3 linked regions of the Stegostoma tigrinum genome follow. The protein of the gene in region 1 purifies or fractionates together with the protein of each later gene. This does not show direct contact. Links are inferred from orthologs where the notes say so. Each region holds a gene or a part of one and is shown on either strand. Other genes may lie near its edges.

The links.
Region 2: the proteins of cylda (region 1) and spata2l purify together in Homo sapiens (affinity purification with mass spectrometry; 3 studies listed by BioGRID and IntAct, with this or other methods). This does not show direct contact. The link is inferred for Stegostoma tigrinum from reciprocal best matches to the Homo sapiens genes CYLD and SPATA2L.
Region 3: the proteins of cylda (region 1) and spata2 purify together in Homo sapiens (affinity purification with western blotting; 10 studies listed by BioGRID and IntAct, with this or other methods). This does not show direct contact. The link is inferred for Stegostoma tigrinum from reciprocal best matches to the Homo sapiens genes CYLD and SPATA2.

What each region holds. Positions count from the first base shown.
Region 1 is NC_081369.1:27,041,426-27,051,578, forward strand, and holds the start of cylda (ubiquitin carboxyl-terminal hydrolase CYLD), read right to left. Parts: upstream 4,281-10,153; 5' UTR 4,124-4,280; intron 1-4,123. UniProt on the Homo sapiens protein: Deubiquitinase that specifically cleaves 'Lys-63'- and linear 'Met-1'-linked polyubiquitin chains and is involved in NF-kappa-B activation and TNF-alpha-induced necroptosis.
Region 2 is NC_081369.1:45,446,093-45,456,823, forward strand, and holds the start of spata2l (spermatogenesis associated 2-like), read left to right. Parts: upstream 1-5,581; 5' UTR 5,582-5,723; intron 5,724-10,731.
Region 3 is NC_081372.1:39,296,813-39,307,643, forward strand, and holds the start of spata2 (spermatogenesis-associated protein 2), read right to left. Parts: upstream 4,711-10,831; 5' UTR 4,593-4,710; intron 1-4,592.

The sequences.
Region 1 (10,153 bases):
AACTACAGCAATGTGGTTGAATCTTAACTGTGTTCTGAAAAGGCCAAGAACTACCTAACAGACAAGTCAAGCAACAATATGGCAGTTACTGTCAGATTCACATTCTTCAGCCCACATTCCACCCATCTCCAACAGCATTTCTGGGTGTGTGCTGAATGTGGGACACAATGTTTCAAGGCATCAGGTCAAATGCAGGTAAGGAAACCTCCTAATTAGTAGTTATCACTCTCCCTCAAGCTGGTGGATCAATACTCCTCCATGTCAAACATCACTTGAAACAAACCAGTTGCATCTACCCAAGTGGTGGCCTGAGTGATTGCAGTCCAAAAATCTCATTGTTGCACCCTCTTCTGAAATGTAGTGTATAGGATAGATTCAGAACAGATCAAGCAGCTAAAACTGTACATGGAGAGACTACTGGCCTGCAGCAACAGCAGAACTGAATTCCAACACAATCTGTCATCTCATAACCCAGCATATTTCTCCCCCTCCCATTAACATCAAATCCTGGGATAAATCCTTAATCGTAACCTCCACCACCATTAAGGATTGAGGACTAGGAAATCCACCAGCTGCAATTTCTCTCCAAGTCATACGTCACCCTGACCTGGAAACATTATTGTTGCTGGTTCAGTGTGATGAAACTCTCTACCCAAAGGCATTATGAAAGTAACTGAAGCAGTGGCTCAAGAACGTGGCTCACCAATAACGTCACACAAGGGATGGCACATTACATGATTAAATTCCCATGTAATTTTCTTTTATGTCATTAGATTTATCCACCTGAACAGTAAGTTCTAAAAATGTATTGAATTCAAGCCATTGATTTTATTTTGTTCTTAAAATAACATACCACCTTGCAACAACCAAAGAGATGATTTGCCTTTGTCAGGGTGAAGTTTTCAGTTTGTGAATGTTTGAATGTCTAAGCTGTCAATATTAACAATAAAAGAGGGAAAAAAAAGTGTTTGCTTTTAAGCCAGCCTTACTGGTCAGAACCTGTCCAGGGCTGAGCTGTTTTCAACTGTGCCATGAAAGAACCAAAACAGAACCTAATCCCAGTTCCCTAACAAAAATCTGAATTCTGAGAGGCAAAATTTACTTCCTTTTTAAGTCTTACATTGAAAAGTTTGTCAATGTTCTACAGTCTAATGTACTCAATTAAGAAAAAAATCTCTACATACATTTAGATTATATATTTTAATGTACTGAATGTATCTCCCACTATCAACATCCTGAGGCTTACCAATGACCAGAAACTGAACTGATCTAGCTATCTAAATACTGTGGCGACAAGAACTGGTTGCAGGCTAGGAATCCTTCAGGATGTAACTCACCTGCTGACTCCTAAACCCTGTCCACCATCAACACAGCACAAGTCAGGGATGTGATGGAATACTCCCCCTCCACTTAGTTGGATGAGCGTAACTCTAACAGCATTGAAGAAACTCCACACTACCCAGGAAAAAGCAACCCACTTAATTTGCTCCACACCCCTACACCTCTGATGTACAATCTACTAGACGCATGCAGAAATTCTCTCAGGTTCCTAAGACAGCACCTCCCAAACCCACAACTACTACCACTTAGAAGAACAAGGACAACTGATACAAAACAACACATCACTGTTTAGAGGTACTGTGTAAGATACTGAGGTAAAGTATTGTGGATGTTGATTGCAATAAGATTAGATTAGATTACCTACAGTGTGGAAACAGGCCATTCAGCCCAACAAGTCCACACCGCCCCTTGAAGCATCCCATCCAGACCCGTTTACCTATAATCTACACACCCCTGAACACTACGGGCAATTTAGCATGGCCAATCCAGCTAGCCTGCACATCTTTGGACTGTGAGAGGAAACCGGAGCATCCAGAGGAAACCCACGCAGGCACGGGGAGAATGTGCAAACTCCACATGGACAGTCGCCCGAGGCTGGAATCGAACCCGGGTCTCTGCAGCTGTGAGGCTGCAGTGCTAACCACTGAGCCACAGTGCCGCAGGATGGTGAAGAGACACAGTGTTGCAGAAGGAATGGTCCTTGCAGAATGCTGATAAGGGAGGGGAGAAGAAGATGTGGAGGCATCCTGCTGGGCGTGATGTAAGTGGCAGAGGATGATCCTTTAAATGCAAATGCACAGGGGTTTCCCTATTATTGCTCTGACACAGGCAGAAAGATTTGAGGGCAGAAGTATCGTGCACCATAACAGAAATCTAAGGTTAAAAGAGAAATGAACCAAGAAACCTTGAAGTGCAGATTCATAGTTTCTTGAAAATGGAGTTGCAGGTAAATAGGATAGTGAAGGAGGCAAATGGTATGTTTGTCTTTGTTGGACAGTGCTTTGAGAATAGGAGTTGGAAGCTCATGTTGCAGCTGTAGACGACATAGTTAGACCACTTTTGGAATACTGTGTACAATTCTGGTCACCCTGCTAATAGGAAGGTTGTTGTGAAACTTGAAAGGGTTCGGACAAGATTTACAAGAATGCTGCCAGTGTTGGGCATTTTGAACTATAGGAAGAGACTGAATAGGCTGGGGCTATTTTCCCTGGAGAGTCAAAGGCTGAGAAGTGACCTTACAGAAGTTTATAAAATCATGAGGGACGTGGATAGGATAAATAGACGAGGTCTTTTTCCTGGGATGAGGGAGTCCAAAACTAGAGGCATAGGTTTAAGGTGAGGCGGGGAAGATTCAAAAGGGACCTAAGGGGCAATTTTTTCACACAAAGGGCGGTGCATGTATGGAATGAGCAACGATGAGATTTATTTAGGATATCTGGACAGCATAGACGAGTTAGACCAGAGAGTCTGTTTCTGTGCTGTACATCTCTACGACTCTAAAAAAGAAAATGATGTCAGAAGCACTCCTTTAAAAAGTGGCATCATCAAAACAGGTGCAACAATAATAAACTGGAAGAACAGGTGGAGTGCTTGCAGGAAGCAGGGTGGGAGGAAGTGTAGTCCAGGCAACTGAAGGAGTCAGGGGTTTGTAACAGACATTACTTTTACCATTCAATTCCAAAGAAACATCATATTGGAACCAAACATTAATGCTCTTTCTCTTCCTGCTGATAAGAGTCAAGGCAGTACCAAGTACAAGGGCACAGCAAACTGGCTACTCCCCTAATCTCACTAGCAACCCTACTACCTACAGTTTCATTACCATGGCAGCCTCCCAACTCCCTGCTGTGCCTTTTATTTTTAACCCCTCCCCATACACCACCTGGTCATCCTGGAAAGAATGGCAACATAATTCCAAGCAAGGTAGTGTGTGGCTTAGAGGAAAAAATTGCAGGTGATAACATTATGGCATTTGCTCCCTTGCCCTTCTGAGTGGTATCAAGCTATTAAAGGAAACTATGAGTTGCTGTAGTGCAACTTCTATACAGTAAACGCTGCTGCCACTTTGCTCTGATGGTGGAGGGAATGAATGCGTAAGGTGGTCAACGCAACATGGATGTCTGCCAGGGGCTAACTATACAACTCTAATCCCTCAAATGAAAACATCGTTTCTTGGAGAAATAACTTTTAAAAGGCAAGGTTTCCCCGAGTGACTCAGTACATAAACGCACCATGTGCTACAGTGCTTCCTGCTTCAAAGCAAAGCTTCCAATCAGCAGCGAAACTAGTTCAACCAGGAGCTGTATTTCCAAGTTGTAAGCTGGAAAAGAATAGGGAGATTCCCATTTCTTCACCCTACGACCCCCTTTCTGTTTCGTTACTGGATCCTGACAACGACAACGTCAACCTCAACTTCAACCACAAAGCCCCTAACAACCAGGGATGGTATGCACATTTGCAGAAATACAACCGGCATCTTCAAGAGCAGTAACGGAAAAGAATATATTTACATGTAACCATCAGGATCAGGAAGACCAAGTGATGGGTGTCATCCTGCTGAGAGGCACAAAACACGATCCGGGTCGAGGTGGTCATCAGCTGGAGCAGCGACAGTCCCAGGGCCGGATACCTCTAGCACTGTAGCTGTCAGGGGGATCCTGGGCACTGAGGGGGCAGGTGGCCGGGCTGGGATAGGCCGGGGACACCCTTACCCCACTCGCCGGCCCACCTCACCCATCAACACATATACGCGCGCGCACACACATATTCCAGGTTCACTTACAAAGCCGGCAGTCCTCTGTTCTGTCTCTCAGGACTTAATGACAGATAAAGAACCAAGCGAGTCCCAGACTTTCACAAAAACAACGACGACGACGACGACGACGACGACCCGGAGCTGATGTAAATAAAGGAACATTCCCAACCAGACCTCACCGTGCCAAGTCCCACCTCTTCCCCCGACACAACCGGCACGGACCTCCACCTGCTATTGGCCAAACCTCCACGGAGGGCCGGCCAATCGGCGGAGGCGCTGTCCACTTCCCGATCGGTGGTTGGCTAGTGGAGGTGGCAATCATTGATGTCATTACGCTTCCGCTTTCAGGTTTGCCGTGGAGGGTAGGGGCTGGGCATGCGTACATTGTGCACTTGGCTGCCCGCGAGGGGGTGGGGCTTGAGTGACAGCGCTTTCGCCTCATGCCCGCAGCAATTGACAAGTTGGTGCCGAGTTATTGGCACACTGCATGTCGCTGTACAACAAAAAGTCACATCTCCCATTCACAGCCTATTGTTCTGAAACCTGTGTTCAGGATCTACCCTGTATTTGAACTTTAAAGATTATTGCCAAAATAATATTACTGCACCCCTTTCGTGTTAATATTTCCGCAGGATCGTTTTTTCCATGCAAAATATTCACGTGCAGCTCATGACAGGCAACAAAATGTTGGCTCAGGCAGCGAAGCCTACGAATAAACAATAATAAAATATCCTAAACCTTACTCCACTTCATCCAGGACATGCATGACGTCCTCTTGTTTTAAAGCTATTTCTGGATTTTTGTTTGTGCTTCTTCAATGGGGAAGATAAAGGGGAAATGTTTGTTGATGTCATTCTTAACAGTTGTTCTCTTCATTGTAGGTCTGGAATCACATGTCGGTCAGACGAGGTGAGGATGGCAAATTTCCCTTCTTAAAGGACATGAGTGACCCTACGCAGCTGTTCTGTTTCTTGATGATCGTTTCAAGGTCACTTAGCTTTTTACTTCCTGACTTTTATGAAATTACATTCATATTCCACCAGATGTCCTGATTTTAACCCAGTCCCCAAAACATTGGGCTGGCTCCTTTGGGATTTTTGACCATCTCTCCACAGATGCTGCCAGACCAGCTGAGTTTCACTAGCATTTTGTTTCTAATTCAGATCTCCATCATCACCAGTATTTTGTTTTTGTATATTCATGTTTTTACATTTTTATTTGAAAAATCCTAATTCTCACAAACCCTTTCTTCCCTATAATTGACAAAATGGTTTTGAGAGTCCGATGAAGGGGACTCTAAGTGATAGGATCTACATGCATTTGAAAAGGCAAGGACTGATCAGAGATAGTCAGCATGGCATGGGAAATCATGTCTCACAAACTTGATCGAGATTTTTTGAGGACGTAACCAAAAAGATTGAGGACAGAGCGGTAGACATTGTCTCTGTGGACTTTAGTAGAATCTTTGATAAAGTTCCACATGGCAGACTAATTAGTAAAGTTAGATAAAATGGGATTCAAGGAGAGCTTGCCAATTGGATACAAAATTGGCTTGATGGTAGGAGACAGGGTGTGGTGGTGACGGCTGTTTTTCACACTAGAGGCCTGTGACCGGCAGTGTTCTGCAGGAATCAATGCTGGGTGCACTTTTGTTTATCATTTATATGAACAATTTGGTTGAGAATTTAGGAGGAATGGTTAGTAAGTTTGTGGATTACACCAAACTTGGTGGTATAATGACAAGTGAAGAAGGTTATCCAAGGTTACAGAGATGTTGACCAATTGACTAACGGGCTGACGAGTGGCAGATGGAGTTTAATTTGGGTAAATGTAAGGTTTTGCATTTTTGGTAAAACAAACAAGGGCAGGACTTACACAGTTAATGATAGGACCCTGAATAGTGTTATTGAACAAAGAGATCTAAGGGTTCAGGTACATAGTTCTTTGAAATTTGCATCACAGGTAGACAGGGTGTTCAAAAAGACATTTAACATGCCTGCCCTCTTTGCTAAGACCATGGAGTACAGGAGTTGAGATGTCATGTTGAGGTTGTATAGGACATTGGTGGTGCAACTTTTAGAGTACGATAGGAAGGATATTATTAAATTGTAGAGGGATCAGAAAAGACTTAGCAGGATGTTGCTGGGACTGAAGGGTTTGAATTATATGGATAGGCTGCAATGGGCTGTGACTTTTTTCATTGAATCAAAGGAGGTTGAGGAGTGACCTTATTAAGGTTTAGAAAATCATGAGGGGCATAGATAAGGTGAATAGCAAGGGTCCTTTCCCTCGGATGGGGGATTTCAAAGCCTGCGGGCATATTATTAAGATGAGAGGAGAAAGATTTAAAAGGTACCTGACGGGAAACTTTTTCACACAGAGGGTCACTCATATGTGGAATGAGCTGTCAGAGGAAGTGGTAGATACAGGTATAGTTACAACATTTAAAAGACATATTGATAGGTACATGAATAGGAAAAGGTTGGGGGGATACGGGGCAAATGCCGGCAAATGGGACAAGTTTCGTTTGTAAAACTTGGTCGGCGTGGATGAGTTGGACCAAAGTATCTATTTTGGTGCTGTATGACCCTATGACTCTAGTCCACGAACTACACAGCTGCAACGTGTCCTTGAGACCAAAATGGCATGACAATTTGAAAATTATATTGGGCATGTGGATTCAGGTTAATAAACATTATAATAGTATAATGTTGAATATTTTGCAGCAGCAACCTGCTATTCGGTTCCTACCGTTTTTCTAGTAGGGTTAGAGATGTTAGTTGAAGTGAAGATTAACTTTTTTTTGATTAAAATACTTCATTCTACAGTTGAAGAAAGCAATCACTCTCTGCTGTTTGTGATTAAAAATATAGACAAATTTAAGATTATACAAAAGAATAACGTGCATTTCTCCTGGGAGATTATCTAAAATGATGAAATAATGACACAAATAAATGTCATGGTAATTATCAAGATATCATCAAATGTCTTGGTATTTACATTTACAAATCTTACTTCATTGTGACACAAATTAATTAACAGTATTTGTACCATGGTTTAGAAATTCCAGTAGAAGTGTAATTGGTCAATACGTTTATTTGCTGTTATGTTCCTGCAGTGATTTCTGTCTCAAATGCCAGATAACGGGTATTTTTAAACAACAGGGCTGTGAAACAAGCAACAAAAGAAGAACAAGCTCATTTCGGCATTCTTTTGAGAAAAGGAAAGAGGTTAATAGAGGTCAACAATTCTCTCTGCTACAGAGATTGACTGCCAGTTGCTTTTTTTGAATTTTAGGGCCGACAGCAAGCCAGGACAAATCATAAGTCTGCTCTCTATGCACATATCAAATTAGGTGAGTACCTGGCATATGTATATTCAAAATAGATGCACAGGAAAAATACCTCATACAATAACGGCTTGCATATTATGACTGCACAAACTAGTTTTCCCCACTTGCCCAAGCATCACCTTGTGTTGTTGTCAAGACAGAAAAGTGGGAGAGACGAGGGGTAGGGCAGTATGGTTTTGGTGTTGAATCACAAATTGTGGTGCACTTTAGCATTCTGAATCATCATAGAATCCCAACAGAGTGGAAACAGGCCCTTCAGTCCAACATATGCACACCAACTCTCAAAGCATCCCTCTCAGATCCATCCCCCTAGAACCCATGAATCTACACATCCCTGAAATACAATGGACAATTCAGCATGGCCAATCCACCTAGCCTGCACATCTTTGGACTGTGGGAGAAAACTGGAGCACCCGGAGGAAACCCGCACAGAAACGGGGAGAATGTTCAAACTCCACAGTCACTCGAGGGTGGAATCAAACCCGGATCTCTGGCTCTGTAGGGTAGCAGTGCTAACCATTGAGCCACCATGCCACCATGCAAAGCCTATTTTTTTTATCACTCCCCAGTATGGAAACTGACCAATTTCAATCGCTATTATTATTATCCTCTATCATCAACTGACTATGTCACATGTAAAGAAACTGCGGAGGAGAGAGATGCAGCACACAACTCAGAAAGCACTAGCAAAGACAAAGGGAGTGAAATAGAGAGAAAGGGGGAGAGCTCATAGTGTAAACATATCACAGCAGGTCAAAGAGGATGCCAATAATATTCAGTACTACCAGATGCCAAAAGTTTGTGTGACGTGTTCCTAATGGTTGTCAATAGCTTACATACATAATAGCTTTGGATATATGATTATATAAAACAAATTTGTTTGTTCTTACAAATCATATCAACAAACATTTGGACAGAAAATTAAGTTAGTTTGTGTGAAAATTCCCAGTGGTCACGTTTGAAAGAAGATGTGCTAGAGGAAATAAGAAATATATACCTATAAATATATCCCTGGGGTTTTTTTACAGCAGTCTGGAAAGTTTTTCAGTTTGATGATATATCAATGTGTCTTATCCTCGATATCTTAGGAATTGGGAGAGTTAAAAAAATAAGTGACCTGGATATGTACAGAAATGTGTACATGTCGTGGTGGTTCAAAATGTTTTTACTGATGCTGCATTTGAAAAGTTTGAATTACACTTCTCTATCAATGGAATCTTTATTTGTTTATCATCAAGAATTTACCTTTCCACTAAACAAAAGACTTTACACTTGTGTAGTACTTTTTACAATCACTGGACATCTCAATAAGCTTCACAAGCAACTGACACTTTCTGAACTGTAGTCAGTGGTATAATGTAAGAAGTGCAATCGATAATTTGTGCACAGCAAGTTGTCACTCAACAATGTAATAATGACAAGGGATCTCTCACTTGCTCCTCAAAACAGTGCCATTAGATCCTTTTACGTTCACCCGAGAGGGCTTCAGTTAATATCTCTTAAGAAAATTGTAATCTCCAACAATGCAGTGTTCCCTCACTTGGGTGTCAACCCTAACTTTTTGTGCTCAAATTTTGTACGAGATCGTGAACCCACACTCAGAGGAAAGAGTGCTTCAAGTGAGCCATGATTGGGAAAATAACAAAAACCATTGATATCAAAGGGGTGTAAAGGTGAAGGCACCATATTAAGAATGTAATTTTCAAAGCAACCTATTCGATCTCCTGCAGCCAATTCTCAGTTTAAATATTTCACTTGGTGAGGAATAAACATTTCTGGGGAAAAGACTGCTATTTGACTGGATTTTTTTTTCAGTTTATATCAGAGGATGAACACCAGGATGAATTGGTTGGGTCAAATGGCTTGATTCTATGTATCTTATCCAGTGTATTTCCAGATACGTGGAAATGACCTTAAGCTGTTGTGGAGAAGGTGCACAAATGGAAGTAAAGGTAGAAGAGCAACTTCGCATTATTTTATCCTTTCCTGGGATTTAACAATTATTTAAAGCCCAACCCCAGCTGCTTTTAAGAAAGTGAGGCCAGCAATCTTCTTACACGGCTGCAGCCCTTCTGTTCAAGGTACACCCATACTGCCAGTGTGTTCCAGGATTTGCTAAAGAACGGCAACTGAAGAACTGGAGTGCCTTGGAAGGGTACTCGCAGTTGATTGTTTTCCTATGTGTCTGCTGCCCTTATCTTTCTAGATAGTACAGGTTTTGGGTTGTATAACATCTTGTAGATGACAAATATTGCTGCCATTAGTAATGAAGGTAGTAAATGTAGAGGGCGAAGGTGCCTATCAATTTGGATGCTTTGACCTGGATTGTGTCTAGCTTCCTCAGTGTTGTTTTAGCTGCATCAAGCCACGTAGGTGGGGGGCAATCCATCGCACACCCAATCTGTGTCTTGTAAATCATGGGCAGGCACTGGGGAGGCAGGAAGTCAGTTACTCTTAGCCACTGACCTGCTCTTGTAGCCGCAGTATTTAGTTAGCTGACTTGGTTTAGTGACTAATCAGAAGTAATCTCCAAGATGTTGATAGATTCAGTGATGGTAAATACACTAAATGTCAAAGGGTGGTGGGTAGATTCTCACTTGTTGGAGGTGATCATTGTCAGGCATTTGTGTATTGTGAACCTTACATGCCCTGTAACAAGTCTGCCTGTTGTCCAGGTCTTGCTACATATGGGCATTTTCTGCTTT
Region 2 (10,731 bases), about 18 Mb from region 1:
CTGGACTCGGTTACACATTAGAGATAACAAGGTGTAGAGCTGGATGAACACAGGAAACCAAGCAGCATCAGAGGAGCAGGAAGGCAAATGCTTTGGGCCTAGACCCTTCTTCTGAAGAAGGGTCTAGTCCCAAAACATCAGTTTCCTGCTTCTCTGATGCTGCTTGGCCTGGCGTGTTCATCCAGCTCTACACCTTGTTATCTCAGATTCTCCAGCATCTGCAGTTCCTACTATCTCGGTTCACATCAATTATCTTTTCATGGGCCCAATGTTCTTAGTCATTGTAGATGCCCACTCAAAGTGATTGGATGTGAATCGGGTCCATTTGTCAAACATGGGGACAATGATAGAAAAACTGTCAATGCACAGAGTCACAGAAGTGTTGGTCACAGATAACAGGTTTACCAGTGGGGAATTTGGACTTGATTATTGGATCACTCTTCATGCAACTACAGGGATAGCACCGGCAAATTTGCTAATGGGCAGAAGACTCAGCCCCAGGGTAAGTCTGACCTTCCCTGATCTGTTCGGGTGGCGAGGGGGGGAGCGGTTTGTGAAACAGCATCAGGAACCCAAATGCCAGACACAAGACTCCGCCAAGTGAAAGAGACAGTTTGATGCAGGGGATGAGGTTTGCTGTAAGAATCACAGAAACAGCCTCACAGTTGGGTAAGAAGCATAGTTAATGTGAGATCATAGGTAGGTCCTTTGTTTTGAAGAGCCTCCTGGGACCTCTGAGCTCAGGGTCAGGTTCTGCTTTCTCTGCCTCCAATCTGAGCGACGTGTACCACATGTCGAGATCAGGGCCAGTGACATATAAAGTTTAGGTAGGTGCAACAGTCCTGAACAAGCACGTGGACTATATGAAAGCTGCAAATTTGTCAACTGTGCAGGAGCAAATTGTGCCCTGCCCCTTGGAAGAGTCAGAGAGAACACCAGAATCTGTGAATTCACCCTCCCCATCGAGCATTGACAAGTCCTCAGAATCAGACAGGCTGGATATAACCACTTCGATGCCTTTGCTGCCCGAAGAAGAGTGAAATTTTACCGAGGTGGTCCTGGCACAAGAGGAGTGCTCCCATGTGGGACATGTCGCTCAGATTGGAGGCAGAGAAAGTGGAACATGACCCTGTGCTCAAAGGCCCCAGAAGGGTCTTCAAGAAAAAGGACCTGCCTATGTCCTCAGAATCAGATGGGGAGGGACTTAGTGATTGCAGGAGGTCAGTCAACTGGACCATATAGAATTGGGGCTGTTAATCTGATTCAATGGGGAGACCTGGCTGACAGATAAAAGGGAGTGTCAGAAATACTGACAGCCTAGGAGCTGACTCTGAAGACAAAGGACTAGAGTCAAAGACCGTTGATGTGTAAGTAAAGGGTGACTTGGTGACAGGATACCGGCATCTGTAGAGTTATTTCTGTCTGCCCTCAGCTAACCCTCTTTGCTGTTGCTAAGTTTCCATGTTAACAGTTAGTCTCCTACTCACCTCAATCATGCTATAAAGTTAAACAAGGAAAGCCTCTGATCTCGGACACAACCGCACAAAGCTCACAGGTACACAATACTGAATGATGTACAACTTAATCTTGATGGTAGGATCTTATTCTAAAATAGCTTTACATTATTAAGCATTCATTGTATGCAAATATATTACAATTACAAGCCTACCACAGACCAGTGTGAGGCCCAACGCAACGGTGAATTTATCTCTACATTTCATTCCACCTGAGGGAAATCAAAATTTTGCATCCCACTTAATTCATTAATTTCCCCAACCAAACCTTAGAAAACCTGGTCTTTTCATACATTATAGATCGTGCAGTGCAAAAAAAATTGCTATACTTCCTAAATTATATCAGCAACTAGACTTTAAAAATACTCTACCTGCTGGCTTGAAGTTATGAGGCACTATGTAAATGCAAGTTCCTTCTTTTGGAAATTTGACCAAGGTGAATAAAGAATGGAATCATGAGTAGCTATAGTGAATAGACCATAAGAGATAGGAATGTGCCATTCGGCCCGTCAAGTCTGCTTCACCATTTGATCATGGCTTATATGTTTCTTTGGCATTTGGACAGGGATGGAAGTATGAAAGGTACAGAAGTGAAAGGTACAGCTCAGGCAAAATGAAGTGTTGGAGGTTCATGCACAGCATAAACACCAATGTAGGCCAGTTATACTGTGTCAGAAATAATGGGAACTGCAGATGCTGGAGAATCCAAGATAACAAAGTGTGAAGCTGGATGAACACAGCAGGCCAAGCAGCATCTCAGGAGCACAAAAGCTGACTTTTTGGGCCTAGACCCTTCATGGGGGATGGGGAGAGGGTTCTGGAAAAAAATAGGGAGAGAGGGGGAGGTGGACCGAAGATGGGGAGAAAAGAAGATAGGTGGGGAGCGAGGGAGGTGGCAGGTCAGTCCAGGGAAGACGTGCAGGTCAAGGAGGCGGGATGAGGTTAGTAGGTAGGAAATGGAGGTGTGGCTTGAGGTGGGAGGAAGGGATGGGTGAGAGGAAGAACAGGTTAGGGAGGCAGAGACAGGCTGGGCTGGTTTTGTGATGCAGTGGGGGAGGGGGCGAACTGGGCTGGTTTTGGGATGCAGTGGGGGAAGGGGAGATTTTGAGCTGGTGAAGTCAACATTGATACCATTGTGCTGCAGGGTTCCCAAGCGGAATATGAGTTGCTGTTCCTGCAACCTTCTGGTGGCATCATTGTGGCACTGCAGGAGGCCCATGATGGACTTGTCATCTGAGGAATGGGAGGGGGAGTTAAAATGGTTCGCAACTGGGAGGCGCAGTTGCTTATTGCGAACCGAGCGGAGGTGTTCTGCAAAGCGGTCCCCAAACCGCCGCTTGGTTTCCCCAATGTAGAGGAAGCCACACCAGGTACAATGGATACAGTATACCACATTGGCAGATGTGCAGGTGAACATCTGCTTAATATGGAAAGTCATCTTGGGGCCTGGGATAGGGGTGAGGGAGGAGGTGTGGGGGCAAGTGTAGCACTTTCTGCGATTGCAGGGGAAGGTGCCGGGTGTGGTGGGGTTGAAGGGGAGTGTGGAGCGAACAAGGGAGTCACGGAGAGAGTGGTCTCTCCGGAAGGCAGACAAGGGTGGGGATGGAAAAATGTCTTGGGTGGTGGGGCCGGATTGTAGATGGAGGAAGTGTTGGAGAATGATGCGTTGTATCCGGAGGTTGGTGGGGTGGTATGTGAGAACGAGGGGGATCCTCTTGGGGTGGTTGTGGCGGGGGTGGGGTGTGAAGGATGTGTTGCGGGAAATGTGGGAAATGCGGGAGACACGGTCAAGGGCGTTCTCAACCAGTGCGGGGGCAAGTTGCGGTCCTTGAAGAACGTGGATATCTGGGATGTACGGGAGTGGAATGCCTCATCGTGGGAGCAGATGAGGCGGAGGCGGAGGAATTCGGAATACGGGATGGAATTTTTGCAGGAGGGTGGGTGGGACGAAGAGTATTCTAGGTAGCTGTGGGAGTCAGTGGGCTTTAAATGGATATCAGTATCTAGCTGGTTACCTGAGATGGAGACTGAGAGGCCCAGGAATGTGAAAGATGTGTTGGAGATGGCCCAGTTGAACTTGAGGTTGTGGTGGAAGGTGTTGGTGAAGTGGATGAACTGTTCGAGCTCCTCTGGGGAGCAAGAGGCGGCGCCGATACAGTCATCAATGTAACAGAAGAAGAGGTGGGGTTTGGGGCCTGTGTAGGTGCGGAAGACCATAAGACCATATGACCATAAGACATAGGAGTGGAAGTAAGGCCATTCGGCCCATCAAGTCCTCTCCACCATTTAAATCATGGCTGATGGGCATTTCAACACCACTTCCCGGCACTCTCCCCGTAGCCCTTGATTCCTTCTGAGATCAAGAATTTGTCGATATCTGCCTTGAAGGCATCCAACGTCCCGGCCTCCACTGCACTCTGCGGCAATGAATTCCACAAGCCCACCACTCTCTGGCTGAAGCAATGTCGTCTCATTTCAATTTTAAATTTACCCCCTCTAATTTTAAGGCGGTTCCCACGGGTCCTAGTCTCCCCGCCTAACGGAAACAACTTCCTAGCGTCCACCCCTTCTAAACCATACATTATCTTGTAAGTTTCTATTAGATCTCCCCCTCAACCTTCTAAACTCTAATGAGTACAATCCCAGGATCCTTAGCCGTTCATTATACATTAAACCTACCATTCCAGGGATCGTCCGTGTGAATCTCCGCTGGACACGCTCCAGGGCTAGTATGTCCTTCCTGAGGGGTGGGGCCCAAAATTGGACGCAGTATTCTAAATGAGGCATAACTAGAGCCTTATAAAGCCTCAAAAGCACATCGCTGCTTTTATATTCCAACCCTCTTGAGATAAACGACAACATTACATTCACTTTCTTAATTACGGACTCTACCTGTAAGTTAACCTTTAGAGAATCCTGGACCAACACTCCCAGATCCCTTTGCACTTCTGATTTGCGAATTTTCTCACCGTTGAGAAAATAGCCCATGCCTGTATTCTTTCTTCCAAAGTGCAAAACCTCACATTTACTCACATTGAATTTCATCAGCCATTTCCTGGACCACTCTCCTAAACTGTCTAAATCTTTTTGCAGCTTCCCCACCTCCTCAGTACTACCTGCCTGTCCACCTATCTTCGTATCATCGGCAAACTTTGCCAGAATGCCCCCAGTCACTTCATCCAGATCATTAATATATAAGGTGAACAGCTGCGGCCCCAACACTGAACACTGCGGGACACCACTCGTCACCGGTTGCCATTCCAATAAAGAGCCTTTTATTCCAACTCTCTGCCTTCTGTCAGGCAGCCAATCCTCAATCCAAGCCGGTAGCTCACCTCGAACGCCATGGGCCCTCACCTTGCTCAGCAGCCTCCCGTGAGGCACCGTATCAAAGGCCTTTTGGAAGTCCAGATAGATAACATAAAGAGGGACTGTTCCACGTACTTTGTGGTCTGTTTCTGTAACAAAGAGAAAAATGCTGGACAAACTCAACAATCTGGCAGCATCTGTGGAGAAAGAGATGTGGCTTGTTTGCCTGTAATGAATTAAATGTGGTTTGTATCCATATTCAATGTAGATAAGTTATTGACGACAATCTCAGTTTTTAAAAGATTGAGGTAAATGGAATTAGCGTATTTGATGTTTGTTGGTTAACTATGTTTTATTTTTTTGTACATTCTATGAATAAAGTATATTTTTTCAAAAAAATTTGATGTTTGTTTGTCGGCATTGACATGATGGGCCGAATGGCTTGACTCTATACTGTACGAGCCTACGACACGTACCAAAGAATGCGACAACTTCTCCTAATTTGTTAACAAGCAATGTGAGAGCATTCAACCAAACAGGACTGGTAACAAAGACAATAAAATGTGAGGCTGGATGAACACAGCAGGCCCAGCAGCATCTCAGGAGCACAAAAGCTTTTGTGCTCCTGAGATGCTGCTGGGCCTGCTGTGTTCATCCAGCTCCACACTTTATTATCTTGGATTCTCCAGCATCTGCAGTTCCCATTATCACTGATCACAAAGACAGTCGCTCCCTTCTGCCAATGAACATCTGGAGGTTGGACTTGTCTGTATCACATGCTGAACGGGAAGTGACAACTTCAACAAGATCTGTCTTTGCATGTTAAATTAGATACGAATTGCAGTGGGTTATTTTGTGTTCTTCATCTGACGTCCAAACGTTTTCCCGGTGATTTTACAGGTGAGTGTAACAACAGAGTTTAAGAAATCCCGATCTATACCAAACTTCCCAAATATGTATTTAGAGAAGACGATTCACGTTTGACCGCATTATTGCTGGTTGTTTAAATTCGTAGAGCTTCTAAAGGGGATTTCTTTTTTTAAAAAAAAGGAGGAAGTGGACAGTTTTAGACAGTTTTGCACCGAGACTCAGATCAGTTCTATTACTGTGACGTTCTCATTTGCGTTTTCCCCGAGGTGTTTCGCCAGTCTGGGAATGGTTCGCATTCATCTGTGTCCTGGTTGTAAAACGTGTAGCAAAATCGTGAGATTTCCTGCAGTTGATTTCCTGCGCGCAAAGTGAAATTGGAACAAAAGGCATTGAGGTCACATAACCCAGTTTTATATATATTTGACTCTGTCGTTGTTTGAGAGAAGTGATAGGGATTGGAAAGTGAAACTTGGGACGAGATTTGTTTCCGGCTACACACTTGTCCCCGCCTCCGCACGCAGCGCTTGTTTAACTCCTGTGTGTTGTGTAGTTGGTAGATAATTGTTAAGTTTTGACCCCAGTCGATATCAAGCAGTTGGTCACCCAAAACCCAAAAGGATCTGGTAATTACAGCTTCCAAGTTTAACCTATATTTTCTAATCAGCCTGTTCAAAGTTTCATACCACTGTGATTTGTTCAAATTCTTGTCTGTTCTTTCTCAGCCAGTACATCAAAGGATTGGGCTTCACATTTTTGGAGTCTGCACTTACTATTGGAAACTGCATTTTTGATTGCAGAGGTATAATCGTGTATTTAGGATATTTCGGAACTTGAGTAGGCCATTCTGCCCCTTGAGCCTGTTCCACCCATTTGATGCAATCATTGGCTCATCTGTGTTTTAACTCCATATACCTGCCCTTGGCCCTTATCCCCTAATACCTCTGCGTAACAAAAAATTATCTATCTCAGATTTAAAATTAACAACTGAACCAGCATGCATTGCCATTTATGGAGGAAAGTTTCAAATATCTATCACCCTTTGTGTGTAGAAGTACATCCTAACATCTGTCCTGAACAGTCCATAAGACCATAAGACATAGGAGTGGAAGTAAGGGCATATGGCCCATCGAGTCCACTCTGCCATTTAATCATGGCTGATGGGCATTTCAACTCCACTTCCCTGTAGCCCTTGATTCCTTGTGAGATCAAGAATTTATCAATCATCGCCTTAAAGACATCTAATGTCCCGGCCTCCACTGCACTCTGTGGCAATGAATTCCGCAGACCCACCACTCTCTGGCTGAAGAAATGTCTCCTCATTTCAGTTCTAAATTGACCCCCTCTAATTCTAAGGCTGTGCCCACGGGTCCTAGTCTCCCTGCCTGATGGAAACAACTTCCCAGCATCCACCCCTTCTAAGCCATACATTATCTTGTAAGTTTCTTCAAGATCTACCCTCAACCTTCTAAACTCTATTGAATACAATCCCAGGATCCTCAGCCGTTCATTGTACGTTAAACCTACCATTCCAGGAATCATCCGTGTGAATCTCCGCTGGACACGCTCCAGCGCCAGTATGTCCTTCCTGAGGTGTGGGGCCCAAAATTGGACACAGTGTTCTAAATGGGCCTAACTAGAGCTTTATAAAGTCTAGCCCTAATTTGCAGACTACGCCCTCTGTTCTAGAATCCTCAACCAGTGTAAACAGTTTTTCCTTTTAATATCTTGAATACATCAATCAGACCACTTCATAACCTTCTAAATTCTTGAGAAAGCAGCCCTACTTTGCACAATCTCTCCTCATCATTTGAAGTCCAGCTATCATTCTTGTAAATCTACCTTGCACTCCTTCTAAAACCAATATATCCTTCCTAAAGAGTGATGCCCAAATTTGCTCATAGTACTCCAAGTGGCATCAAACCGGGGATTTCTGGTCTATCAATAAATATCCCTGTGTAGATAGTGTGGATGATAGCATAAAATTACAATGCTGCCTAACTTTGTCATCAGCAAATTTGGATACGTGACTTTTTGTGCTATTATCCCAGTCATTAACAAATAATGTGAATAATAATCTAGCACAGATTCTTGTGGGCCAACACTGATCACATCTTGCCGATTTCAGTTCCTGTCCGTTATCCCTATATTTTGTTGCCTGCCAATTTCCTCGCCGTGTCCTCACGTCTGTGGGCTTCTACCTTAGTTGACAGTCTCAAATGTAGGATTTTATCGAATACCTTCCAGAAGTCCAGTTAAATGAGATCTGTAGGCATTTCCCTATCCAATATCTTAGCCACCTCTTCAAAACATTATTTGTCAATCTACTTGTCACAAATCTGTGCTGGCTGTCTCCAATTTAACTGAAAAATTTCAAGGTGTACACTTATCCAATCCTTACTTGTTGACTCCAACAATTTCCCCACAACAGATTTAGTTGACTGGTTTTTCCTTTGTCGTCCTTCTTAAAAAGCAGAATGACGTGCAATTTTCCACTCCGAAGGGGTGTCTCCTGCATCTAGGGAACACTGAAAGATTATATCTACAGTGTGATACCCCCAATTCCTTTTCCATCCTCAGATGAATATTTTGTTTTATTCAGTCCCTGTTCCTGGTCCACTAATAACTTCAAAAATATAATATTCTTGGTCTCATTGTGCTGTTAAAGATGTCCTTGATACAATATATCAACCTTCAGAATGACCAATCTCTGGTCATAAATGAGTAAATCATCTACCACGCTGGGGTGTCCTTACTGTTCATTACACAATCCCATTCTCAGATTGTACAGCATCTTTGTTGGTCATCCTTTGCTGTACTGTCTGACCCAAGTGCATTCTTTGTCAGCTTTCCCTGCCTCGCTGGATGGTAAAATTGGGCTTGTCATTGATGTAAAGGTTTTGAACGTTTCCACTACGAGCATGATGGGCTGACTGGCCTCCTTCTAAATCATCACAATTCTGTGATTCAGGAAAAATGACATCCTGTTGATCAAGCCTTGCACATGGAGAAGGGACAAAGTATAGGAGCAGATTTACTGCTGATGCTGTAATCTCTTCCAAAAATAACAAATGCTGGAGATTGCAGCGAGTCAGACAGCATCCATGGAGATTCAGCAAGTGCACATTTTGAGTGGAAATGACTTCATCAGATGAAGAGCCATCTTGACTTGAAATGTCTCTCCATGGATGCCGTCTGACTCGCTGTAATCTCCAGCATTTGTTGTTTTTGGGGACAAAGTATCTGCTGCAGTGTGCCTCTTCCTGGAACATGCTCTGTCTTTCCATCATAGCGGTCATCCCTTGTCTGATTTTGTGGAGGTGTTTTTGCTAACTCAGAATTTTAAAATGTCACAAGTTTTTGTAGTCTAGATGAAGGACATAATCTGTAATGTTTCAATGCAGCTGCTAATACTACTTTCCTTATTGATGCCGTAACTCTGGTCAGTCTCTGACATTGAGTGAATCGCATAGTGAACTGATCTACACTCTCTCTATCCATTTGTATATCAATTTATACACCTCCCTTTTCTGTAGGAGAAGCATCAGCAGCAATGATCATGGGCAGCTGTGGGTTACAATGTGTTTAAATATCAAGACGATAGATGATTTATTATTATGTGTACCAAGAAACAGTGAAAAGTATTGTTTTGCATGCTAATCAGACAAGTCACACCTTACACAAGTATAACAGGGTAAATGAACAGGATGCAGAATATAATGTTACAGCTACAGAGAAGATACTGGGAAAGATCAACTCTAACATATGAGGGATCCCATCAAAAACCTGATACCAGTGCAGAAGAAGCTGTTCCTGAATCTGTTGGTGTGTGTTTTCAGACTATTGTATCTGCTTTGCATTGGGAGAGACTATAACTGGTCCTTGATTATATTTGGCTGCTTTCCCAAGGTACTTCATCACCAGATTTTCTTGGTTTTCTTAAAAAAAACATCTGTGTTGTGCCTCCTAACCAACACCATGCCTTTCTTGTCGGAGCAGTTAATTTAGTGGCTTGTTGGCACAAATATAGATTAGATTAGATTCCCTACAGTGTGGAAACAGGCCTTTGGCCCAACAAGTCTGCACTGCCCTTTGGAGCATCCCACCCACACCCATCTCCCACACACCCCTGAACACTACAGGCAATTTAGCATGGCCAGTCCACCTAGCCTGCATATCTCTTGGCTGTGGGAGGAAACCCACGTAGACACGGGGAGAATGTGCAAACTCCGCACAGACAGTTGCCCGAGGCTGGAATCAAACCTGGGTCCCTGGCACTGTGAGGCTGCAGTGCTAACCACTGAGCCACCATCCCGCTGTAATCAACCAGCAATAATGAGCAGTTCAACTCACATATTAAATAACTTCTGTAAGCATGTATTTGGGATGGGCAAGAGCATTCCAGCTTAGTTTACCATACCCAAGAGTCTCTGGAGCTCAGCCACATTGAGGAATGAGAAGCTTTTGGATTTTTCTTTGCCATCTGTAGATTAACTCTGACACTAGGTGCATGCACAGTATGCCCAAGGATCTTGACAGTTAAGTTGCAAAAATTTGCATTTGATTTGGTCCTGATTTCTGTATGTTCAACTGCTTTGTATGCCTGCGTAAGATCCAATCAGACTCTAGATCCGTTGGACTTTGGAACTGGGGCCATTTCCAAGCACCAGCTTGTTGGTTCTGTCACAGACAAAATAACCCATTTCTTCAATATCAGAGCCAATTTCCTTTTAGCAAGTGCAAATGATAAATTTATCTGGGCGTGTACTGACACTCTAGCTTCCGGAATTGGTCGTGCCACTATTGAACTGGGTTGGACAGGATGAAAAATAACATGACACCAGGTTATATTCCAGCAGGTGGAATTGAAAATACAAGCTTTCAGAGTGTTGCCCCTTCCTCAGGAGCAGTGAAAGAGGAAGTATTAAGACACACAATTTATAAGTAAAAGATCAAAGGATTAGTCAACTGGGTGAATGCATTTAATAACCCTCAGTTGGCTGGTTAACTTCCTCCTGTAAAATCCTTAATCAGTTAGAAA
Region 3 (10,831 bases), on another chromosome or scaffold:
AGACTGCATTTCATTCTTTTAAACTCAAGAGTTAAGACCCAGTTTACCCAGACTGTCATCCTAGGAGCCAACTTAGTGATTGCTCACTGTACCACTTGAAATGCAAATGAATTCTTCCTTAAATGTGGAAGCTAAAACTGTTTACAGTACTCAGGTGTGACATCACCAAAACCGCATTCAATTAGAGTGGTATTTCCACATTTGTATACTCCAATTATTTTGCAAAGGACAACATGCAATTGCTTCTCTAATTGCTTGTTGCCCCTGAATGCCAACGTTTTACATTCCTTGTACAAGTATGTCCAAGACTCTCTGAACAAAAATATCAGTGAATTCCAATGTACTTAAAAATTATTTGCATTTGCATTCTCACTATCGAAGTAAATAAGTTCACACTTCCCGCATTATATTTTATCTGTCACTGAATCATTTTGTCATTAACTTAACCTGTTAAAATTTATTTGCCAACTCTTGTGTCCATTTCACACCTTTTAGACCCACTTAGCTTTGTTTCATCATTAAACTTGGATACGTTGCCCTACATTTTATTATTTAAGTCTTTAATGTAGGTTGCAAATAGGTGAGGTGCCAGTACAGATTCTTAGAGCACTTGGTAGCTATATCATGTCAACTTAAAAATGCCCAATATATCCTGTTTTTGTTTCTTGATTGTTGACTGAGATAAGCGACTATTGGCTCCAGTCACAACTGTGTTAACCAATCCCACACCGTGCTAATGTGTTATGCTTAATTACATTAGGTGATCTTTTGTGTAGGAGCTGAATGAATGCCTTTAGGAAATCCACGTATGTGACAGAGATAATGGGAACTGCAGATGCTGGAGAATTCCAACATAATAAAATGTGAGGCCGGATGAACACAGCAGGTCAAGCAGCATCTCAGGAGCACAAAAGCTGACGTTTCGGGCCTGGACCCTTCATCAGAGAGGGGGATGGGGAGAGGGAACTGGAATAAATAGGGAGAGACGGGGAGGCGGACCGAAGATGGAGAGTAAAGAAGATAGGTGGAGAGAGTATAGGTGGGGAGGTAGGGAGGGGATAGGTCAGTCCAGGGAAGACGGACAGGTCAAGGAGGTGGGATGAGGTTAGTAGGTAGATGGGGGTGCGGCTTGGGGTGGGAGGAGGGGATGGGTGAGAGGAAGAACCGGTTAGGGAGGCAGAGACAGGTTGGACTGGTTTTGGGATGCAGTGGGTGGGGGAGAAGAGCTGGGCTGGTTGTGTGGTGCAGTGGGGGGAGGGGACGAACTGGGCTGGTTTAGGGATGCAGTGGGGGAAGGGGAGATTTTGAAACTGGTGAAGTCCACATTGATACCATATGGCTGCAGGGTTCCCAGGCGGAATATGAGATGCTGTTCCTGCAACCTTCGGGTGGCATCATTGTGGCAGTGCAGGAGGCCCATGATGGACATGTCATCTAGAGAATGGGAGGGGGAGTGGAAATGGTTTGTGACTGGGAGGTGCAGTTGTTTGTTGCGAACTGAGTGGAGGTGTTCTGCAAAGCGGTCTCCAAGCCTCCGGAGGCTCTTCCCCCCCACCCACTGCATCCCAAAACCAGTCCAACCTGTCTCTGCCTCCCTAACCAGTTCTTCCTCTCACCCATCCCTTCCTCCCACCCCAAGCCGCACCCCCAGCTACCTACTAACCTCATCCCACCTCCTTGACCTGTCCGTCTTCCCTGGACTGACCTATCCCCTCCCTACCTCCCCACCTACACCCTCTCCACCTATCTTCTTTTCTCTCCATCTTCGGTCCGCCTCCCCCTCTCTCCCTTTTTATTCCAGTTCCCTCCCCCCATCCCCCTCTCTGATGAAGGGTCTAGGCCCGAAACGTCAGCTTTTGTGCTCCTGAGATGCTGCTTGGCCTGCTGTGTTCATCCAGCCTCACATTTTATCATCAGGGTATGTGACATCTGTTGTAAAAGGTCTTGCTGAGCAGTGGTAGTGTCTCTCTCTCTAAGCCAGAAGACACTGATTCAAGTCCCACTTGCCCCGGAGAGATGTCACAGCATGATTGAACTAGTTGATTAAAATAACTACTACATCTATTGGCTTTCTGTCACCATCCGCAGAGGTGGTGGTGTGTACTGCAACTAGTAACTAAGCACTTTCACTTAGAAAAACCTGTGACCTCTACTATTTAGACAGGCAAGGATATCAATCATAGATTGCAGAACCCCTGCAGAATGGAAACAGGCTCTTTGGCCCAACAAGTCCACACCAACCTTCAGAGCACCTACCCATGCTTATCACCCTCCAACTCACCTAATCTATACATCCCTGAACACTAAGGATAATTTGGCATGGCCAATCCATCTAACCTGCACATCTTTGGGCTGTGGGAGGAAGCCGGAGAACCCGTACGAAACCCACACAGACACGGGGAGAATGTGCAAATTCCACACAGACAGTCACCTGAGGATGGAATCAAACCCAGGTCCCCAGTGACGTGAGGCAGCAGTGCTAACCACTGAGCCACCGTGCATATCCTCAGATGCATGGGAACACCATTACCTGCAATTTCCCCTCCATGTTGCACTCCATCCTGACTTGACAGTATAATCTCAGTCATTCACTATTGCTGGATCAAAATCCTAGCACTCCTTCCCCGAACAACATTGTGGGCGTGATTACATCAGATGAACTGCAGCAATGCACAAGTGCAATGCACCACTGTCCTCTCGGGGAATAATGGGCAACAAGCTAGCAATGTTTGGACCCCATGAAGGGATAAAAAAGTGCATCACATATTTTGATCAATGGCTGGTTTATTGTATATTGTGATTTGTGCATTTGTTGGCAGGGGCAATCTACTTTAGATCCCAACATATTTTCCAGATGTTAAAGCCTTACTGTTGTTTAGAGTGTTCCTGTACACAGATTGACTGTTAAATACTACTGCAGTAATAGACACTATATAACATATACAAAAGTGATACAGGTTGGATTCAGTAACATTGCAGTTGCCTCATCGAAGCATTATTTTTCACTTTAAATGAATGTGGCTGAGAGTTCAATTAGTTGCAACACTAACACCAATTAATGAGAAGAAATTCATTTTCATCGTGGGTCAGTTCAGACGAGTTTCTGGGCCCTAAGGGTAAATATTGGTGTGGATGGAAATAATACATAAATTGTTCTGTAAGAATAAATTAGTACAGGCTTCTTAAATAGCTCAACTAAAAACATGGCTTTCACCTCTTCAGTATCCTTACCGTCCACCTTTACTTGTAATTTTAATCAAGTAAGATGGGGAACAATTCCCCAAAACAATGATTAAAATAAGATAACTGACCCACGAGGCCTCAGCTGGAAACAGATTCATGCTACTAAAGCACCATGTTTTTGGAAATAGTGACCTAATTTTGAAGCATTATTTACAAACTATGAAGGCAAGCAAAGAGAGCTTAACAATAACAAAATGTTATCCAGACTCAACAGTAGTCATTCTGTTAGCCAGCAGTCAGTCCATTAGAATGCAATAAAGAAAGTCAGTGCCCGCTAGGTCATCCTCAGTGAATGCCCCATTGTGTGTATCCACAGCCAAATATCAAGCTATGATTCCTGCAAAAACAAGTTTAAGAATTTTTTTGGCTGCATGAGAAAAAGATACATGCACTTTGTCTAACTTTAGGACCAATTCTAAGAGGCTGGTGCCCAAGAACCAGCTCCCAGCGTTTATATTAAAAATAAAAATAGAAACTGCTGTAATACTCAACAGGTCTTGCAGAATCTATAGACAGAGAAACAGAGTTAATTTGCCAGGTCTGTGAGTTTTCCTTATTAAGTTAGCTCTTGCTCTGCAGATTTTGCTTGTCCTATTCATTATTTTCTGTTTTTGTTTCAGTTTCCTAGTATTTACAGTAGCTCGCATTCATACAGCAAAATCTGATTTCCTTAAAGCCAATAGCTGGCTTGGAGACGGACCATTGACGAAGGCCCTAAACAGCTTCACTTTTTAAAATGCTTTCTCCCTGTCCTTTGAGACATGTAAATTTTCTCTGCAGAGAACAAATTACTTACTGTTAACTGCATAGTTTGTTATTTATTAAGGTGAACGCAACAAGATCCTACAATCTGTAACAAGCTAACTTCGCAGTTGATCAATTTTTGGTTGAAGAGGAACATTTTTAATCAACCTGTTCAGACATTTTATGACGCACTTCCAGGACAGGTGGAACGTGAACTCAAACCTTCTGACCTAAAGGCACAAGCAATACTCCCGACTCCAAAAATTGGTAGCAGGAAGGAGGAATATTAATTAACCAGGGCTAGTTAACTTCTTGCTATTTAAATTGAATCACATAAACTAATTAATGACTATCAAGATCAATTGATTGGAATTTGTTTTAACCTCATTTTTAAAGACTGCATCTCAGATAATGCAAAATTTATTCAGTACGTGTCGTGTCTTCCTTATGATGCCATCAAAATCCCAGATCCACAGGATTCTGGTTGGGAAACATGAACCCTACTATCTGAACAAAGCTGGAAGATGTTGCAGAATTCTGATATGTTTCCATTCGTTTATCCTGAACAAGGGCATGCATGGACCATCAAATACTGTGTGACTTACCCCATGTGAAGCCAGTCCAGACAATGCCAACAACAAATATTATCCAAAATAAACTCCAGAAGGTGGTGTGAAGCTGAGCTGACAACTAGAAACAGGTTTTAAAAGGTATATGAAGGGTGTGGAAGCTGTGATGTTTGGAAGAGCCTCAACGCTATTGCTATAGCAACAGGGTCAGATCCATATAATCAAAGATGGGGGCGAGTGAACAGCACTGCAGTGATTTCAGTTTTTGCAGTAATGATACTATTTCAAATTGTTTATCTTTAACTATTTAATTTGCGGAATTAATTTTTAGCCATTGTTATTCTTTTCACTTGACTCATTTGAGTACTTGTGGCAATAAAACAAATTCTATTCTTTTCTCTTCTGTATCAAAGGAGGCAATCAGAATTGGTTAGTAATTTTTATTTTAACCTGTTCTTGCCCCAAAGACCACATTTCATTCGCATTTTTGTCTTTCCTTGTGTACTCTTATCTCACTGACATCATTGATTCTTCTGACACCTTCTGCTATTTTATTTTGTTCCTTTCTCCCGCTTTTCCACTTGCATCATATTTCTTCCAATGATGTGTATTTCAGGCAGAGCTTCCAGTATGCCTTCCTTTTCCTGAATTAAGGATTCCCCATCCTCTGTGGTTGACAGGTCTCCCAACGTGGCCATTGTAAATTGCACATTCACTCCCTTGCCCTCATTTTCCACCTACCAGACTTCACATTCAAAGGATCATCCTCTGCCATTTCTGCCACCTCCAGCATAATGCTCCTATCACATTTTCTGCTGCCTCCCCAGTTATATTATATCGAAAAAAATTGTCTTTAACACCCTGGTTCATGCATCAGATAACTATAATGTGACCTCCATTCCTACGGTATCATCCAGCACAACGCGTCACCTTTCTCCCTCATTCATTTTCATTATCCAATGTCCAAACAACCCCTTTCTGGTGAAATAGTGTAAACTTCTAAATCTTTCAATCTGGAATGCTAAATTTGTTGTCAATATTGCCATCTACTCCACTTCAGGGAGACAAAATACTGATTGGGTTTATCATTTGCGAAACACCTCCATTCAGTTTGTGGCCCTGAACTTCTGATCATTTCAGTCCTCTGCTTCATTGTCACTCCGCTCTTTCTGCTGTCAGCCTCCTACACTGCTTCGATTAAAATCAATATAACATTACATCTATTAATTATCCACGCGAGAGCTTTTTGGACTCAACATAGATTTCCATGTGCTTAACTCGCTAACGTTCATTTCATTTTCCAGACAGCAGTTAGAATTGTAAGATGTTTACACCAAATAGGTAAGCTATTCAGCGTGTCGAATCCATGCTGGTCCTCTGTAAACGCTATTCAATGACTGACACTCTACATTTCTCCCATGGTCCTACAAATTTTACCATTTCAGATAATGATTCAAATTGTACCGAAATCCACTATTCAATGTGCCTTCACCACACTCACAGGCAGTGTACTCCAAATCCTAACCACTTGCTGCAAAGAAAATGTTCCTCATGTCACCATTGTTTCTTTTGTTAATTACTTTATTTCTGTGTTCCAAGTTCTCTTTGTTCCACCAATAGGAAAGTTTCTTTCGGTCCACTCTGGCCAGATGGCTCACACACCTCATATGTCCTCTTAATATTGTCTTCAAGAAGTTCTTAGTAATGGTTCTGCCATGTCTATTTTTACCTTTTCTAGACCACTGCTTCCAAACTATTTTCCAAAGTGACCATATTTCAATTTGAAAGTTAACATCATATCATATACCAACAAAAACAAAACCATAAAGCAACATAGTAACATTCAGTAGAAAAGTATTAAAATATACTTATTTAAGATCATTCTACGATATAGTATATATATAGAAATATGTGTTTGTTTGACGTATTTTGTAAAGTGCTTATTATTTTATGTGCTCACCGTCCATTACTTCACCTGAGTTGCTATAGCTCATAGATAGCCAGAAAGCAAAGGATTGATTTTTATATGTACATTTGACCAAGGAATATGGATCTGATAGTGGCTTCTGCTGGAGGTGATGGAAAAGGTTATTTGGAAGCGGGTCGTGGTGGGGTGATAAGTGGGGACCATGGGGAAACTATCAGAGCTGTGGAGGGAAGGGAAGGGGTGAGTGTAAAATTGCAGGGCATGGGTCAGACACAGCTAAGGGCCCTGTCAACAATGGCAATGGAGAATCCTTGGTTGAGTAAACAAGTGGATATTTCTGAAGTCACCATGCAGAAGACAGCATTATCAAAATTGGTGCAACAGAGGTAGGGCAGTGGGAGAATAGAATAGGATCCTTACTGAATGCAGGATGTGAGGATGTATGGAGCAGGTAACTGTCGAAGTAGTTAGTTTGTACTGGAGATCATTGGCTAGCTTAGCCCCAGAAATGGAAACATTAATGTCAAGGCAGGGAAATGAGGAGTCCAAGATGGATAGAAAGGAGGAAAGAAAGTGAACAGGCTAATCTTTATTGATAACAAACAAAGAGCTGAAGATGCTGAAGATCTGAAACAAAAAGAGAAATTGTTGGAGAGACTCAACAGTCTTGCAGCATCTGTAGACAGAAAGCAGATTTAACATTTCAATTCTGGTGATCCTTCATCAGAATTGATAGTAGCTGGGAAAAGGTAGTATTTATGCTTGTGACAGCAGGTGGGGGCAGTGTGGGGGAAGGAGTGAGAGGATAGACAAAGATGGAGCCCAGAGGGAGAGAAAGAAAGTTAGGCAGACAAAGGGATGGTTGATAGTAAGCCAGGGAATGCAAAATGCTAATAATGGGGAACACAAGTAGGTGAAACTGGGTTGGCAGTGCAGAAAGCAGCCCCTGTCATGAGAGGGCCTGGAATGCAGCGGTGGGTAAAGGGCAAGGAAGATGATGTTCAGGCGCAAAATTATTGAGCTCAATATTGAGTCCTACACGCTGAAGGGTTCCCAAGTGAAAAATGAGATGCTGTTCTTCCAGGTAGTGTTGAACTTCACGAGAACATTGCAGTAAACGCAAGACAAGATGTTGGCGATGGAACACAATATTGTGTTGAAATGGCGGGAAACCGGAAGTTCAGGGTCATTTTTGCAGGCTGAATGTAAGTATTCTGGTTACCCAGTGTGCATTTCATCTGCCAAATGTAGAGGTGACCACATTGTGAGAAGCAAATACCACAAACTAGATTGAGTGAAGTATAGGTAAGTTGCTGCTTCATCTGGGGTGTGTGTCTGGGGCCTTGGATGGTGAGGAGGGTGGAGGTAAACGGGCAGATGTTACACCTTCTGCGATTTCAGGCAAAGGTGGTGGGGCACCGTGGGGAGGTGTTGAGAGTGGTGAAGGAGTGGACTGGGTTTCTGGATGAAACAATATCTGCAGAAGGCTGACGAGAGAGGGGAAGGGAATGTGTGTCTCATGTTGACATCTGTTGGAGGAGGTGGAAACAACAGCTAATTATGTTTTGGATGAGGATTCTGGTGGGGTGGTAAGTGAAGACGAGGGGGTTACTTTTGATGTTGTGGGAAGGAAGAGAAGGCGTGAGGGCAGAGTTGTGGAAAAAGCTAAGGGCCCTTCTGCCACCACCTGTTGAACCCTATACCTGCCTTAAGAATAAATGCTACTCTTCCCCAGATGTTTTCAGTCTGATGGAGGATCATTTGACTCTGCAATCTCACCACAGATGTGGCCAGACTTGCTGAGTTTCTCTCATAATTTCTGGTTTTGTTACAGATCTTCAGCATTTGTAGTTCTTTATTTTGTTTTATTTCTGTCTGGTTAAATGAACTCATTTTAAAACATAAATTCACTGAAACTAGGAAAGGTGTCCATGAGGGAAAGGGCCATTTGCTCGTTAGGAGTAGGGAGAGGAGAGAAGGCTGAATTGGAAGAAAGGGACCCAGCTCTCCCTTCCTTATTGGGGGGGCAAAAGGAATTGGAGATACTTAGCCAGGGTCTGGCCAAGCCATGGCAAGTGGATGGGAGTGAATGAAATGGAATGGATGGGGCATGGGGAACAAATGAGAGTGTTGAGAGGGTTTGAGGACTAAGGATTAGAAGGCCTTACCTTTCCAATTATTAATGGGACAAAGTCCCGTACCCTGAGTTGTGTCTTTTGAAACAGTTGACATGGGCAGCAACAGCCGCCGGTGATTGTCTCCAAAATCTTTTCCGGGAAGGTTGGCCTGATTCTGGACTGCACGTACTCTGTGCAATGAAATTTCCTTCTGTGCAAACTCTTCATTCCAAGGCAGATAGCTGGGCCAATGATTTTCCTAACTGCTGCTACCTGACCTGAAGATAAAGCTTCACACCGTAAGATTTAATTCTGCAGTTAAAGCTGAACCTGAGTAAAGATTAACATCTAATCTCTCTACTTCAACAACTCTATTTTTTGGGGCCATGATGAAAATGGCAGAAATGGCCTGAAGTCACAAATCCTGAATCTAGGTACTGCACTTCCCATTTTTGTAGGGGCAGGAGTGTAGTTACTGCATACACTGTACAGACATGCTTTGCTTAAGCACCTGGCTATTTAAGGCATAAGCAGCCTCTGCTTGAAGTGGGATTTTGGCATCCCTGTAGCATGGAACCAAGAATCTGAACATTAGTTCTGATAACAGCATGTCTGACCTTAGTGAATTCATTTGAACAACCAAGGTATTAGAGAGGTAGGTTTCCCCAATAGAAATGGTACTGGAACACTTCAGGTGGACTATAGGTGCCTATTGTGAGGGGATGTGGGAGGTTTCCATTATTTTAGTGTGGGGCTGGGGGGAAAGGAGACCCTGTATGGCAAGTTGGGTGCTATAGCAGACAAGAGAGAATGTTGGGTCCCAAAGAGAGACAGCTAGCTTGTTAGGTCAGGGTCTGGGGGCTGCATGGAGTCTGGAGGACATGTTGTTTGGTGGGCAGTGAAATTAGGTGAAGCTTGATGAAATTGACACTTAATTAAAATTCAGTCAAGAGACTTTGAAGAGGAGCAAATATTTGATCACTTCAAGGTCCTAAGCTGCTTTGAACTCAACGCAATTTGGCATCACCCTAGTGGGTGGTAATTATAGCACTCCTCAATATTAACCCTTTCAGACTCTTTCTGAGCCAGAAGCAATTGATGACATTACAAAAAAGTGACTTCTTCAAGCCATTGTGAAAATTTGCATAAACAGAGAATCCATAAGTTGAAGATCATTCGAGGCATGTGGCACAAACAGAGGTACTGTGCCATGGCTAAAAGGGGCAAGACTCCTTAGACAGCACCTTCCAAGCCCATGACCACTACCAACTAGAATGACAAAGGGCTGCAAACACAATGGAGCACCATCGCCTGCAACTTCGCATCCAGGCCACTCACCATCTGGCTTGGAAATATATCACCATTCCTTCAGTATCCCAGGGTTGAAATCCTGCAACTCCCTAGTGACATTGTGGGTCTACCTACACCAATGAGTTAGCAGCACTTCAGGAAGGGCAGCTCACCATCATTTCTAGGCAGCTACGGATGGGTAATAAATGAAGGCTGAGCCAGCAACACTTACGTCTCTTGACTGAATAAAAATAAACAATATCAACCCTCTATTCACTGCTTGAATGGCCCTTTTTCATTATAAAATCCAAAGTTCTGCATGCCTTTGTTGTTGAAGAAACCTTTCCAAATAGTTGCAAAACTACTTTTTACTTGCCTGGAGCAAAATGTTATTTATGCAACACAAATAATTGGTGCGTCTAAGCTCTCATGAGAGAATGTAATGGATAGGAGAGGGTATTATCTTTGTATTGGACAATATGCTTCTTCAGGATCTACTGAGAATCAGTCTCTTTGCACGATATTTATAATTTTTTTTCACTTTAATTACCGCTATAAGGTAAGTTTTAAGCCACAAAATGCTAATCAACTGCAATGATGTAAAGGCCCACCTTTATAATAGTGCAGATTACATCCAGCAATCTTAACTGCGTCTGTTTGGTGGTTTTAACAGGACAAATGTGGATAATAGAAACTTCCAGGGCATAGCTCTTCAGAAACCATTCATTACTTTTGACTGGTTTTATGATAAAACATGTCTGGTTTCATTCTTATTAATACAAATGCATTGAGGTTTTTACTGTGGTTGAACTCCTTGTCTGACTAGATATACTATCAGCTATAAAATGTCTGTTTCAACTGAAGTAAAACAGAACACAGTATAATATTCACACTCTAGTACATAAGGCTTAGGGCTGTGACATTATACTATGCGGACCTGT